Linked DNA regions of Styela clava. The protein of the gene in region 1 purifies or fractionates together with the protein of each later gene. This does not show direct contact. Links are inferred from orthologs where the notes say so. Each region holds a gene or a part of one and is shown on either strand. Other genes may lie near its edges. The genes, in order: transcription initiation factor TFIID subunit 4-like and transcription initiation factor TFIID subunit 5-like.

Evidence for each region.
Region 2: the proteins of transcription initiation factor TFIID subunit 4-like (region 1) and transcription initiation factor TFIID subunit 5-like purify together in Drosophila melanogaster (affinity purification with western blotting; 3 studies listed by BioGRID). This does not show direct contact. The link is inferred for Styela clava from reciprocal best matches to the Drosophila melanogaster genes Taf4 and Taf5.

What each region holds. Positions count from the first base shown.
Region 1 is NC_135262.1:5,622,851-5,630,238, reverse strand, and holds the start of transcription initiation factor TFIID subunit 4-like, read left to right. Parts: upstream 1-4,245; 5' UTR 4,246-4,280; coding exon 4,281-4,758; intron 4,759-5,442; coding exon 5,443-5,624; intron 5,625-6,218; coding exon 6,219-6,308; intron 6,309-6,941; coding exon 6,942-7,019; intron 7,020-7,388. Other genes in the region: protein LSM14 homolog B-like, read right to left, coding at 1-72, 714-889, 1,533-1,653. UniProt on the Drosophila melanogaster protein: TFIID is a multimeric protein complex that plays a central role in mediating promoter responses to various activators and repressors.
Region 2 is NC_135258.1:9,324,735-9,332,168, reverse strand, and holds the start of transcription initiation factor TFIID subunit 5-like, read left to right. Parts: upstream 1-4,307; 5' UTR 4,308-4,448; coding exon 4,449-4,653; intron 4,654-5,549; coding exon 5,550-5,661; intron 5,662-6,651; coding exon 6,652-6,798; intron 6,799-7,317; coding exon 7,318-7,434. Other genes in the region: TELO2-interacting protein 2-like, read left to right, coding at 1-208, 737-907, 1,114-1,285, 1,369-1,458; protein MAK16 homolog, read right to left, coding at 1,537-1,683, 2,206-2,253, 2,330-2,503, 2,581-2,635, 3,327-3,543, 3,621-3,739, 3,827-3,876, 3,965-3,979. UniProt on the Drosophila melanogaster protein: TFIID is a multimeric protein complex that plays a central role in mediating promoter responses to various activators and repressors. May play a role in helping to anchor Taf4 within the TFIID complex.

The DNA.
Region 1 (7,388 bases):
TGGCATGTATGGTGGCGGCATATGAGTTGGTGCATTAGGAGGCATTCCAGAATGCTGAGATGTCACAACAGACTGTAAGAGGAAACAAAGGTAAATGCAAAGAAAAGCTATAAATTATATATAGGATAGGCCTATATCATATATCTATTACGTAGACTTCAAGTCGAGGAACAATATATAATTACCATAAATTCACAAAAATAAGTCGTCATTTGATTGAAAATGTCATTACAGCAAAAAATTTGATTTGCTCTATTATACAAGACTAAAAAATAAATATATCTAGAAACAATAACTTTTGGGTGTAATTCCATGTGCTAAATTTTTATCTAGTGCAGTGACATGATAGTGGTGGTAATATACAATACACTTGGCTGGAAAGAGACAGGAAGTCAAAATTGTTTCATGTTAGAATTATAAGAACAGGGTCCAAAATAAATGAAATATATACTAAATTAGTTCTATTTGATATAATAAATGATTTAGGATAGTTTCACTTGAAAATTTGACATTTTCAAGTATTTGCCATCTGATGTTCAGACAAAAAATAAATTCCATTAAAGTTCTTGTACTATAAAAATAAAAAATTTGAAAAAGAACATTTCCAACTAATCTGCATTATCAAATTATATTATATCCAACTTGTTTCGAGTTAAAGACTCGTTCCACTCTGAAACTTGTATTTACTTTGAAGCAGATAAAATTCATTTCACCTGTACAATAGCAGGATCTTGTGGCAAAGAAGTCGTTGGTGGCTGCTGTGGCTTCGGAGGTTCACATACTGTCAGATCTTCTATGTCGCTTCCACGAAATATAATATATTCATATAAATCATCTCGTGGAGGGACTACACATTCGGTCTGCCGATCTTCTGTGCCAAATGATCGAACTGTAAATGGAATAAAATAAGTTTTTTCTTGGAAAATTGTGCCAAGCATTATATATCGGTAAAAACTCTAATAATAATACTCAATTAACTGACATATGCATAATACAAGATAATAAAAAATGGTGCAAAATTGGGAAACTATGATTATGCTTCATTTTAACTAAAATTGATGAATTGACTGATATATCACAGCATTAATATTCCTTTTATCTGGAATAGCGAATATAATAATTAGGCTTGTTTTTTCAAGTTAGAATGAGGCAGCTGGTAGCCGGAATGCAGGTATATTTTGCTTTGTATCTTCCATAAATTTAAGTGAAATCTGTGGTAAAGCCTATTACCACAATGGAAAGCATGGTATATTTCAGTTTTTGGCATCAGCATTTTGTCTGCAATACCTAGACCAGATTTTCAAGACTTCAAAAATATAATATTAATCATCCTTATTATCAATTCAATAATATAATGTATATTATTATGAAGTCAGGAAGTATAATATTTTGCAGTTTAATTTATACAATATATAAATTTTTGCTACATATAATCAATATTCCTCAAGTAAAATTTATAATAAAACTCGAATAAATAAATTGTGTAACGAACATCATAAATTGACAAATTTATAAGGAAACGTAAAATATACCTTTTGCCAGAGCAACTGTAGCATTTTCAGCATCAATCGTGAACAAAATTCCTTCATAACGGATTTTTGCCTTTGATATCAAACTAATCCTACTGCCGATATATGGAGTTCCACAACTCATATCGCCAAAAAACTAGGAGGTAAAAATTATGAAATATTTTTATAGTTTTTAAGAGTTACCAAACACATCTCAGTATCTGCACATACAGACATAAAAGATTTCCAAGAGAACGAGAGAGACAGGTTTTTATTTCCAAACTCTGTCATTATGGTACATTTTTTTATTTACAAATCCAGTCTACATATGTGCTGCAGTCCATTAAGAACTAACAAACTAAGTTTGAGATAAACAATGATTTCCCAATTTGCACTGCTGAACAGCAAATATCACATCCCACTACGGTATTTAAAAAGCAAATAACCAATGTGACACCACCTGACACGGATAGCCAAATAACTTCAGAGCTTGTTTTCATTAAAGCTGTATTACCATTGATACTATTCCGAGTATATTAAATCTCAGAGAAAAGTCCTGCCTCGTGTAAATTAACAAGAAAGAAACGATAACTAACAGTTTGATTTCCTACCAATTTGAAATAGCGACAACGGATAAGGCATGAAAACACTTCATGACCCGCGTTCAGATTGTATGACGCGTTGCTCTTAATCGCGCTCTAGTGTTCGTCTGAAAATCCATTTTTTCTTTTTTCTGTGATATAATGAAAAATGAAAATGAGAGAAAAAGAAAAAAGCAAAATTTGAGGACCGCGGTGTGAACCACTTGTTATATATGAAGGGGGTGTCAGCGGAGACTTGTTTTATAACGTAAATACACTGATATTTGTTTATTCGATTAAAAAGATTGTTGTATAACATAAATTTACATTTGCAATACAATAAAAATTAAAAAAAAAATTCATAATACAATGTTTTTAATTTTTCATATGACCGTACTTCATTTTAAAACACGATCCATTCCCTTGAATCGGAAAATGATGACGCATGCGCACTTCATTCTTGTTGTGAAGGCCGTGGAGTAGTGATGGCGCCCAACGGGTCGCTGCGCTTCATTCGCGCCCGAGGTTTCGAGGTGTGCATTTGGGAGTTGTGAGTTGGTGGAGCTAATGGCCCACTGAACGATCATATAGTTAGTTGCTAAATACATTTTTTTACTGATATGTTTATAGTTGTAAAGGGTGCTTGACCTGTTTCGAATATTATTGTCAGTCGTTTATACATCAACTTTCAGCATTTCTTTTAATAATCCTGTAACTGTGTAATGCAAAAGAAGTGTCTTGTGATATAGGATTCTTGACATGTTGTTGTTTGACAGAGCACAACAATCAAGTACCAAGGTACAAGATAATACAAGTATTGGGTAACATATCTGGGTGATAGTGACCTATTGCACGACCAGTATTTAATATCTGAATATACAGATAGGCATATGAAACTACAGAAATCAGGAAATATCTGTTCAATTATGACAGTACTGCAGTATGAAGAATACTTTTATGTAAGGGTGTAGCCTATCTAGTATAATGGTTATGTATAGCAGTGCAGTCATACCGATATGGTATTGTCTAAAACCACTTTTAGACTTGTTAATATTGTTAATTTTTCATATCATATTGCTCTATTGGGGTATTTTTAATTTGCCCGATCTGTCTGTCAAACCCCTCAGGTTTGGATCGAGCATAGCATGTGGTAGCATTGCACTTAACGGGTCTAGTATAGTTTAGTACCACAAGAACTTCCAGTGGGCGTAACATAACGAAATTTGCGTATGTTATTCCTAATCCCCACCTGACTATACCATCCAAAAATTACATCACTACGACGTCACAATCACATAATGGAGCTTGCCAAAGTACAGTTACAATCACCCGAAATGTCATCTGCGCCGCCCATAATGAACTCACTAACGCCCGCGATCTCTCTCATAGCGTGATCGTTGTGGCGAGAAAACATGATGGATAGCTTGCTTGATTTTGAGTGATCGTCTGCGCGTTCCGCATACTTTGTAGGGACTTTTAAGCCACTGTGACAGATTTTTTTGGTGACGCAGTCAGGCGGGGATTGGGAATGACATTCAAAAATTGTTGAGCCAGACCAACTAGAAGTGCATGTGGTACTAAGCTATACCAGACCCACACAAGTAATAGATAGGATAGAATTTATATATTTATCCCGGGGGAGAGGAAAGACGGCTTATCCATATGTCGAACCACGGCCTCTCGTCCGGTTACCATTCAAAGTCGGGTATGGAATTAGTTATATTGTTTGTTTTCGGAAGCATGGACCTGGTGGTGGAGGAAGCCGTAACCGACCAGCGGTTACGTGAACTACCCAACGACGGCGAGGAGTCCAGCAATCCTCTCGCACATAACCATCCCTGCATGGGATTCGAACCTGCGAACCCACGCAGAGTAATTAGAGGTGCGGTGGCTAGCGTATTCCTAACGCTTAGCTCGTTGAGCCACACCGCTGCGCCAAACACCGCATCGCTCAGTCATTTACTCATGTATATATCAAGTTTATTGCACCTTTACAATTCCACAAATAAATGCAACTTTTTTATTTCTCTCTGTGGGATTGCGATTAAATGACTAAGGTCTTTTTCGAGAGATTCTAATCCAGATCTCAATGCAAAGATTTATTTTAAGAACTTGCAATCGTAGTCAAAAATTAATTCTAAATATATTTTTTCAAGGTGATGTATAGATCTAAGCTGTTTTGTTCAATGCAATGAGGGTTAGCCCACCTGGATCGACGGACACAGTTCTCACATCTTCATCAAGTACCCCAAACACGTTGAACAGCTATAATTCTGGAATGAATAGTTTACCTCCATTTTCTGCAGCAAAAAACGGAGTACAGCAGGTCAGGACTGCTAGCCCGGTCACCTCTCAGCAGCAAGGGATGCTTAATGACTGGTCAACAGGTCTAAATGAGGGCTATGGGGCCCCAACCCCACAACAGCCGACCCTAGTTTTAAATTCACAGTTGCCTAAAGCATCCACACCTGTGGCAAAACAATTAACGACTCTGACCACAGTAAATAAAATTCCACAACCAGGAATGCAGCAATCAAATACTGGTTTGCAAAATAATTTATTGAATCCTACATCGAAGGCTCAAGTTTCTACGACTCAGCCAATGGTGACTGCGCGTCCTCAACAAGGTGGTGCAGTGCAACTAGCATCTGGGATAACTATTCCTCCAGGTTAATTTGATTTCTACTTTTTATCTAATTCCTTTTTCATACGCTATGCAGTCACAATGGTACATAATTATGTACTGGAAACTCTCATGGACTATTGTTATTGGGTCAAAGGTTCCTAAGTTTTTAATACGACAATGCAGTGGATGAAGAATTTATTTTTTTCAAACTTAAATAATAAAATTAAAAGTTTTAAAATATATTCAAACTTAACTATTACGATACATGAAGCTTGTTTTCATGCACATGTCCTTAGCTGTACTGTTTCACCACGATAATTTTCCATCATTATTCAAGCTTGAATATTACAGCGACAGAAAACCAGTCTAATACAAGTTGGATGTGGCAAAAGGGATCAAAACCCCCTGGAACAGGCTTAGCTATATATACTGAAAGTTAATATGTCCCCTTTTCTTATTTTTTCAATTAAGTGAACTGTATTTTACTATCAAGCATTACATTCCTATATAAAGAGTTATGTTCCACACAATATCATAAGCCCTCGAATGTGGAACTGATTGAAAGTTGTTGAGCATCGATACAGGGCTGTTAGTGAACATGCTGAGCCTATCTACACGCTGGTTATATGGTTTGATGGAGCTTTTTTCTTGATTTACTTCCTGTATGATGAATGATCTGTGCTTTTCGCTGATTTCCCATATTACTTTTGATTCCAACCGTATACAGGTATGGTTCTAGCAAGACATCAGAATGGACAGTTGCTGCTTGTGAGTAGTAATTCGTTGTCATCGTCATCTACTACAAATACATCCACAGTTCCTGTAACTCAGACCGCAACATCTGGGACCGTAACAACGTTGAAAAATTCGACAACAGCAGGTGTTGGGACATCATCACCTCAACCCGCAGTAAGTATTAAAGTTGATAACAAAGCAAAGATCAATTATAAGTGCCCAGATTTTAAATGAATACTGGAATTTTAGCAAAATTTCTGACATTTTTTTTTAGTAATTGTAGGTGTTTCACAGATGTCATATAACAGTATTTCTGTGAATTGGAAAAAAAACAGCAAAATTTTGAGTAGGACAAAATTTGAGCAAAATAGAAGTAATAGCCTCCTAGGGACTTATTCCACATTGAAGTACTGAAATATGATTTTATTAGGTCTATTAGTTGCAAGAAAACAACAATTACAATAGTTAGCAAAATGGTACATGTACTCTTTCTACCCAATAAGGGAATTTTGAAAACACCTGCCTCAAATTTTTTGTAAACATTTCTGTATGTTTTATTCTGCAAATGTTTTGCACAAATCAAAATCTTACCACGATTATGTAAATTTGCTTTTATCGTATGAAACACAATCGAGCAACTTTTTATTGCTAATTTCCATTCCATTCTTTTGACAATTTGTTTCATATCGTCTTCTTACAAAAAAAGTCAAAGCCAGGCTCAACAGAATAAAGGATGAAAAAATCTATTGATTCCATTTTTCTATTAAGATAACTGCAACAACAGCTGGTCAGGTGGTAGCAAGAACAGTGGTTCCAGTTACAAATTCAATTAACCTTAAAGCTGTTGCTGCTAAGCAAGTAAGTATGGAATGTATTTTTCACAAAGTTTTTCAAGTTATATTTATTTTATGCCCAGTATCAGTAACTCGTCTGTAATATCTTCCTTTCCATTAATACATTGTGAAATCATGGCATATCTTTGTTTATTAATAATAATAATGATTTTTCTTTTTTGATTGATTATATTAATAAGATTTATTAATTATTTGTGATTTTATGCCCAGATGATATAATATGTTGTCTAAAACCCAATAATTTACCATTCTGAAATAATATTTCCAAATATGGAATACCGAATACGTTCTGAAATGGGCCATGTCTACAGTGAAAATCACTCAGACTGTTAATAGAAGTTAAATTTGTTAATTAGCTCATCTGTGTCCTACCAAGTTCAAATGCATTCTAATACTCCATTTGTTTTCGGACACCCCTGATCTCACAGAATTCACCACTTATTGCATGAAACTTCAATTGTTTCTTAGCAATTTGCACTTAGAGTGGATTCTGCCATAATGAGTCTCTAATAGTTACCAATATACAGCATTATCTACTGTCTTTGTCTGCAAGACTTTGTTTTATATTTTTCTTATCATGTACTGATCATAAATATTTTGATCTGAATCTTTTTTTCACCAAAACATTACTTTTCAGACGGTTGCTGTCAGTAAAGTATCTACCACAAGTCCAGCGACAACACCACAGAATTCTCAATCTATAACGCTATCTCAGGTATAAGAAGTCTGATGTTCTTCACTGATTAACATCTTCTTGTAAATTCATTATCTACGAATGCAGCGTAACAAATAACAAGGCTAATATCATTTATTTGTAACTGTTGAAATCATATCTTTATACAACCAAATACTGTTCCCAATCAATTAAATCCGAAAGCCTTTGGCAGTGAATGAGGTGTTATTGTATTACTATGTGATTGCTCAAACGGGATAGACATAATAGCAATAGACTTCTTGCATAGCACCTTATCATATTTTACTCGTTGTATACTTGAATAGACGGTCCACACAACCGGCCCTCAACCAGGGGGCCATGGCTTACTGCTGAGCCACAGAATCTTTTTAAAGTTTCATTTGGGATCTC
Region 2 (7,434 bases), on another chromosome or scaffold:
CAGAAGTGATTCATGATGCCTTGGTGAAAAAGTTGTATACCAGAGATTCTGACGTCTCCAAAGTTCTGATTTCGTGTATTATGCAATCTCTGGATTGCTTAGAATCTGAAATGATGCGGAAGCGTGGATGCAGTATTCCAAGGCATGATGAGTGCTTTGAAATTGTTCTGAATAACTTTCATTTGTCGAGTGACAATTTAGTGAAAAGGTGAATTATATTTGATTTACGAAATAAAACCATTGATAAGGATGAATTTTTAATAAACATTTAGTCCTCAATTACATTATGATTAGATCATGGGTGAAATTATTGCTAAATAAAAATAACATAATTTCTTTCCACAAAATATCAAGTATATTTATGAGCTTTCGTTAGTTAGATCACAGTCTAACTTCTTCAGATAACACAAGATATTGCTTCGTGGAAGAAGATTAAGTTATTTTTATTTATCTTCATAATACTATCTCAGTCACGCATCCTGGTACAGATCCGTAATAGAAAGTAAACAAGAAGAAAGTACCTGCAGTTAAATACCCTAGTACACCTGAAATTATTGGGTTGACAAAAAATTAGAATTTTCATCTCTTTTGAAAGTTCTAGTAACAGGGAAAGTCACTTCTCAAACTTTATATGCCAAATATTTTTAGCTTTTAGCATTGGATGATATTTGTTGTCTGCATCTATTAAACAGCTACGGCTGACCTGGTAATTCGAAACATCTTCTGTACCTTCCAGAGTTTATTCCTCTGCACTGCCTTTCTTTGTATCAAGAATGGGAATTCAAAGTATTGGTCATATTAAGAAAATTATAATTGTTCTGGATTACGGAATAGAAAGTACCGATATTCAAACAATGTTGAGCTGCATTGACGTAATTTCAAAAATGGTTGATGCCGCATGGCCAAGGTGAGTGAAGTCTTACTGATCGAATATCATAGGACTACATTTACCTGCTTGCAAGTATATGAAAGAGAATGTAGGGGGAGAATGTATGCTATTTAAACGCAAGATTAAAATCAATTATTATTCTGCTATATTGATGATAGGTATATTCAAAAACTATCCTGTACTACTAGTCTTTATCATTCTAATACAATTTGTCATTCTCTTAGACTAGAACATCACTGTGAAGCAATGTTAAGATTTCTAATAAGAGCACTTTATAACCTGGAAAATGATGATTGGAGGTGGAAAGGATGCAATGAAAATGGGAAAAAGAAAATCGTGAATGCCATCATTGACACAACGATGAAACTTTCAATGCTTTCTAAAGAACTTATCCTGGTAGGTCCATGATTTCAGGATCAAATGAATCATAATTTCTCGCACTTTTTTTAATATACCATATTGATCATTTATGCAAACAGGAGACTGCACAGATGTTAGAAGCTGAAACAGATCTGGCGTTAAGTCAATATGGCAAAAAAATCCAACAACTGATTGCCACCTCTGCTTAGTCCAGTCTATATCGTGGAGATGGTATTTCATCACATTGGGAATAGTTGCACATTTTGAGCATTGTCATAATCCGTGTTTCAAAAAGTTAGTGCCTCTCTTTTAGTTTTACTTGTACTGGGTTCAGTTTCATATTCTATTTCTAAATGTTTTCTTTTCGATGCAGATTTTGTTTCCTTCTCGGTTTCCTCTTCAGACTCTCCTTCTGATGTCAGATCTTCAATATCCTGATGAAAGAATGATATCAAGAATCATGTCCATGAATTTTTGCTAATCTCAATCATATTCTAGCTTACTGTTAGCAATTTATTTTGGCATAAGCTAGAAAATTATTAGTGGAATATACATATACAACACTGATCCGAATTCTTGAACATCAAAGATAAATAGATTCGTGCAGTTACAAGCAACTTATAGACATTTTCATATACATATGCAAGACACTGATTATTTCATCATATAGTAGTATAGCATGTCAGAAACCATAAAGGTAGAATTACAGACAGGCAAGCATAAATTCAATTGAGGCCAACATGGCCTGACTTTTGGAAAGTTAGTGTATGTATTGAGTGGCTTTATTTCATCAAAAGATACGAAAATCTATAGAGCTAACTAACGCCAAAGCACATCTTTGCAACGCCGGGAAAGGCATATTTAGTCCTGAAAATTTAGGGTAGGTAGAAATTAAACGAAACTTCATGTATTCATTGTTACTGATTACAAAATAGACAGATATAAATAAATCTCACCTCTAGATCACTTTCATCCACTTCGTCATCAGCTACATATTCCACCTCCTGTGATGAAAATAACTCAAATTTAGATTACTCAGGAAATACCAGAGCAAAAGTTTCATTTTTGAACAAACATTACCGCCTGAGTTTCTTCCTCGTCTTCACTCTCAGACTCGGCTTCATCTTTTTGTAAAGCTCTATCAAATGCAGTGACTGATACATTATAAATATCTCCATACGTTCCTTGCTTTAATCTTTCCAATAATTCTTTTTCTATTGCATTCTCCAATTGTGCAGCAACTAACGCTTTTTGCTGAAAAGATGAAATAAAAATGATTAGTTTAACAGAATTTTTCTTGGTAAGTGAATTCAATAATAAATTAGTCATACTTCCCGCCTTGCTTCTCTTCGTTCTACTTTCCGACTCAAAGGCACTAATTTTTTCCTGAAAATATTAAAAACAGATTTATCCTTTAAAACACAAGTGCAGTTTCAAGTATTTTGTGGCGTCTAGAGCTGTCGCAAATCCATAGCCGCTATGACCAATAGCGCTACTGACTTTTTAGCTGCCACAAACCAATAGCAAGCTGCCGTGGATACGGCAGCAAATCGAATACCACCAATTTTGCTGCTGAACCACGGCATGTAAATGTTGGGTAAGTTGAAACGCTTTATTTATGAATACAGTTTTGATGTATTTGGGGTTAGGTTTAGGTTCAAGTAGTTATATTTCCGCATGATAAACTAAAATATTGTACATGACTTTGTAAATATACAGGTAATAGCGCCATAAAACCATGGCAAGAGACGCCGCAGTACATTCGTGGCAGGAGCTGCCATGAAGTGGTAAGAACTACGCTTCTTCAAACATGTATGATTTTTTTCTATTCAATATCATTAATACTCAATTCGGGCTGTTTACTTTAAGAGTGTTGACTTATTTCTATGGTAGATGATTGAAGAAGACTCGCTTAGGTTGAGTTTCCCCTAATATTGCCTGACCATCAAGCCCTCAATTTGACTGTTTGGTCAATAATTAAACTTCATGCGATGCAGTAACACTTATTAAATATATTATTTGATTTTGTAAAATATTGATTGGGAAATATTTATTGAGCTACAATAAATATACTTACTGCCTTCGTAAAGTTAACTTTCGAATTCTGATCAAATATTGATATATCTTTGTGAAGCGTTGTTTACACTTATGTCTTAAAAAGTACGGCCAATATACTAAATTTTCATCAATTTGTTCCAATGCTTTTTCATAGTTTCTTGATAGCTTTACTTTTTCCCATAATCTTCCAGGAAAAGCTGCTCTTTCAATTGTCTTCATATAAAGATAACAAACACCTAGAGTAACATTTTAAAATATTTATTATTACAACATAAGGCTATTATAGGAAATGTGAAAATACTACATTACAAACCTTTCTCTTCTTTTATAGTAGCATACTGGCTGTTAGCCAACGGGCATGAGCCCCTGTTGCAAAGTCCCGTCAAATTATATTCATTTTTACAAAATCTTTGTGTTTTTGATGTGATTGCTCTGAAAAAAGATATTATAAAATGAAGCTGTTCTGAACATACTGATGGAAATGAAGGGTGGTATTCATTAGACAGAAAACACACTTACTTTGCTTTATAGGAGCAAAATTGCTTGTTTCCAATGACATCCCAAATAACCTGTAAAAAACGTTCAATAGATTGTCATGTCGTAGATTGTAAGATTATTGAAGGCATTAGGGTGACTGAAGAAAAATAAATTACTTACATCGTCGTGTTGCATCTTCCACCAACGTCAACTCGATCAAAGTCTCACAAAATTGCAATCAAATCGAAGTTGTGGCGACCCACATTATAAATAATGATATACCCAACATGTGTTGACTAAGGCGTCATAATTTTATGCCACTGGTATCGTTTTAGCGTCTTTCATGATTTCAAAAATAAGGAAATTGCAGATAACATGATTTACATGCGCAAAATTTATTAAGTTTTTTTATTTAAAAAATACTAATTAATTTAAAAATCTTTCATTCTATTTTGATTTTTTTTTGTTACCTTGTTACCTTAAAATGCCTGTGACGCGATTACGGTGCCACAAAAGATAACCTCCGGTGTTTTGCGCTCTGATTCTGTATTTCGCGTTTGATGAATGAATAGCGTTGTTTAGGGTTTACAATCCGATTGGTTTATTGCTTCGTTTCTAGTTTGTATGGACAGCTATACGGGTTTGTATACAGAAAACGGATATAATGGAATCTGTATTTGCAAATGTGCCCGCGTTACCTGTTAAAATGGAAGTCACGGAATGCATTTCTACCACGAATGAAACTAAGGTTACTGAGACCCCAACAAATGAAAATCAGAAAACACTTTTAGCTGTTCTTCAGTTTTTGAAGAAAAATAACTTGGGAACAACGGCAGCTATGCTGGAAAAGGAGTCTTCAAAACTTACAGGTAACAAAATATGTAGATTATCGCTAGTAAAATGCTGAAATCCAATACCACTTGCTGGATATTTGAATAAGTATAAGTTTATTTCGACTCCATAATCAACATAACAAACGATAAAATAAATATTTGTAAAAAAGATGACATCACAAAAATGAGAAATTGCTAGACAATGCCTTAATTTTGTAAGATGTAATTTTCCATGCGATTTTTATTTTTTATTAAATAATCGTATTTGCTACGCCGACTTTATGCATTTGCACCCCCACAACTAATCGATCGACTAACGAAAAAGTAATGATTCTCTGCTGCCCACTGACGGCTCGTTGGAAAGCTTATTTAAAGAGCTTGCAATTGGCGATTAAAAATTTTTTTTAAAAGGGGTGGTCTGAGTCACAAACCGGATAGAAAAAAGGCATTTTTTTTTCTTGGGAGTTGAAAATTCAAACCGTGATAAAAAATAGAAATATTCGCTAAATCCTTTACTGTTACCGCTTCGTGGTTGGCAAACAATAGCATAATATTGCTGTAGCAATTTCGTGATCTAACTCAAAATACTTTGGTAGATGGAAGGGATAATATGTCTTCTATTACCATCCAAAAAACACCAAAATTTGCATAAATTTCAAAAACACTCCCTCGTTCCGCCGCAAATAAAATTCCCGTCGTAAACGAAAGCGAGATTTACCACTGCTTATGTTAATCTCGAAGATGACTTCTTATCAATAAACTAAAATCCGGAAAAACTAGACCAACAGTTTGCGACCGATTGCTAAATAAAACAGTGGAGTACATCAACGTACCCGCCGCAATCTAGCGACTTTTGTCGTTGGTACGTATACGTGCCTACCGCACGGAAAGGGTTAATAAATTTGATTTATTTAACTTTACTTGTTTTTCAGGTTCTGACGGACTTCCATCTGATAGCAAAAATTTTAGTACATCTGATGTTTCATCACTACTTTCCACTTATTCCAATCAAGCTGATCCTTCAAGTTACCAAGATAGTTATAGGTAAAATAATCAAAAAAAACATATAGGATATACTTATTTAGATTCTTAACTCTATACACCCAACTCGCTCCTCGTACTTGGGCTTCGTGTTGGAGAGCTTCGCATGAACCCGTTTATTTTGTGGTAATTTTATATTCTTAGAATTTATTCATATTGCAAGGTTGCCGTTGACAAGTAGATCGAATAGTCATTTCACGGTTATTCTGTCCCTTCCAAGCAAAGACATGACTGACTATATACAGATCTCTTATTTTGATTTTATTGTGCTTTTTCTGAGCGATTTGATTGATTGCTTGACTCGAGTCATTGACTAAACTTGAGTGGGTGTCAGGTGTTTCAATTTTTCAAAGTAAAGGAAAAAATGAATGCGTAAATTAGGAGCTTTGCAAGGGAATGGTGGCAATGCTGGCAACAATATGCGGCTCACGCTCGCACGGAAGATAACAACCAATCAAAGATTTGATTCTATGTCATTGTCATTTCAGAAATTGTGATAAATAATTTTTGATTTGGACTTTCATACTTATTCTTATTTACATACTTTTGATACTATTACTACTCTTTTTATTTGTTTCTTCTATTCATTTATTTTTTTTATCTTTTTAAGGTGTTGTAGACTCGATGCCGGATCATTCCGTCCTTCACAGCACTTGTCATTTCAATATTTATTTATGACAAATTTTTGTTCTTGATTGATTGTTTTTTGAAGTGACAAATAAAATAACTCGACTCTTACGAAAAAATAGAAGCATTACCACTCTGACAGCAATCTGCGGACATAAAATGTGTCATAAATAGCCAGATTGATGACAGTTGTAGATGACAGTTATTCCACTGTTTTGCAAATTCCTCCTAAGAAAAGCTTCTATTGCTTGGTTTTATTTTCGAATAAATTCAATATTGCATATTCAAAAATAATAATTTTGAATGTATTCGAAAGAGTGAATTATTTGTTATTGTCTATGAGATTCTATCCTCTTATATTTGTAGAATGTTAAAGCAGTTCATCGAATCAAATTTGGACTCACATAAATGGGAATTAGCTCAAGTATTATATCCAGTATTTGTTCATATGTATCTAGAACTCTTATACAATAATCATGCGGAAAAGGCAAAGTTATTTTTTCTACAATACAGGTGATTAAGCAAGTTGTATAGACGGTCAATCATGTTTATAGTAGATATGACCACTTTTTAATTTTTGATTCAATTGAAGTGAATGCAGTTTTTGATCCTAGAATACTTTTATAAAAATTGCTCAAATATAATGTGAACTTGGAGTGATACAATTTGTTTCAAGCTATTTTCCAGTTGATAAATTTTTTTGGGGGTCACTAAGATGTTAGGAGAAATGAACGTAGTAATTTAGAATTATTTCCTTTTCATAAATCACAATTAAATGCATTATTTTTGCAACTTCTCCACTTTACTCAGAAAGAGGCTGTGAAATAAAAATAAAGAATATGATAGAAGAATCTCTACTTCAAACATACAATAGAAAGATATATATTTCTTCCTGTGACTTAAAATACCAAGTTAATTAGAAACATGAAACACTTCAAGTCTGCACTGTTAGGAAATTCGACAAAGCAGAAGTTCTACAATTGAGAAATTTTTCTCGGGGTTAATTAAAAAATTCCTTTCCTTATTCTTTAGTGGAGAATTAGAAGATTTTCATGAAGAAGATTTAATCAAATTATCGACAATGACAAAGAAAGAACATATGGAAGGAAATGAGTTGATGAGGGTTTTTCACAGCAGCGAATTTGTTAT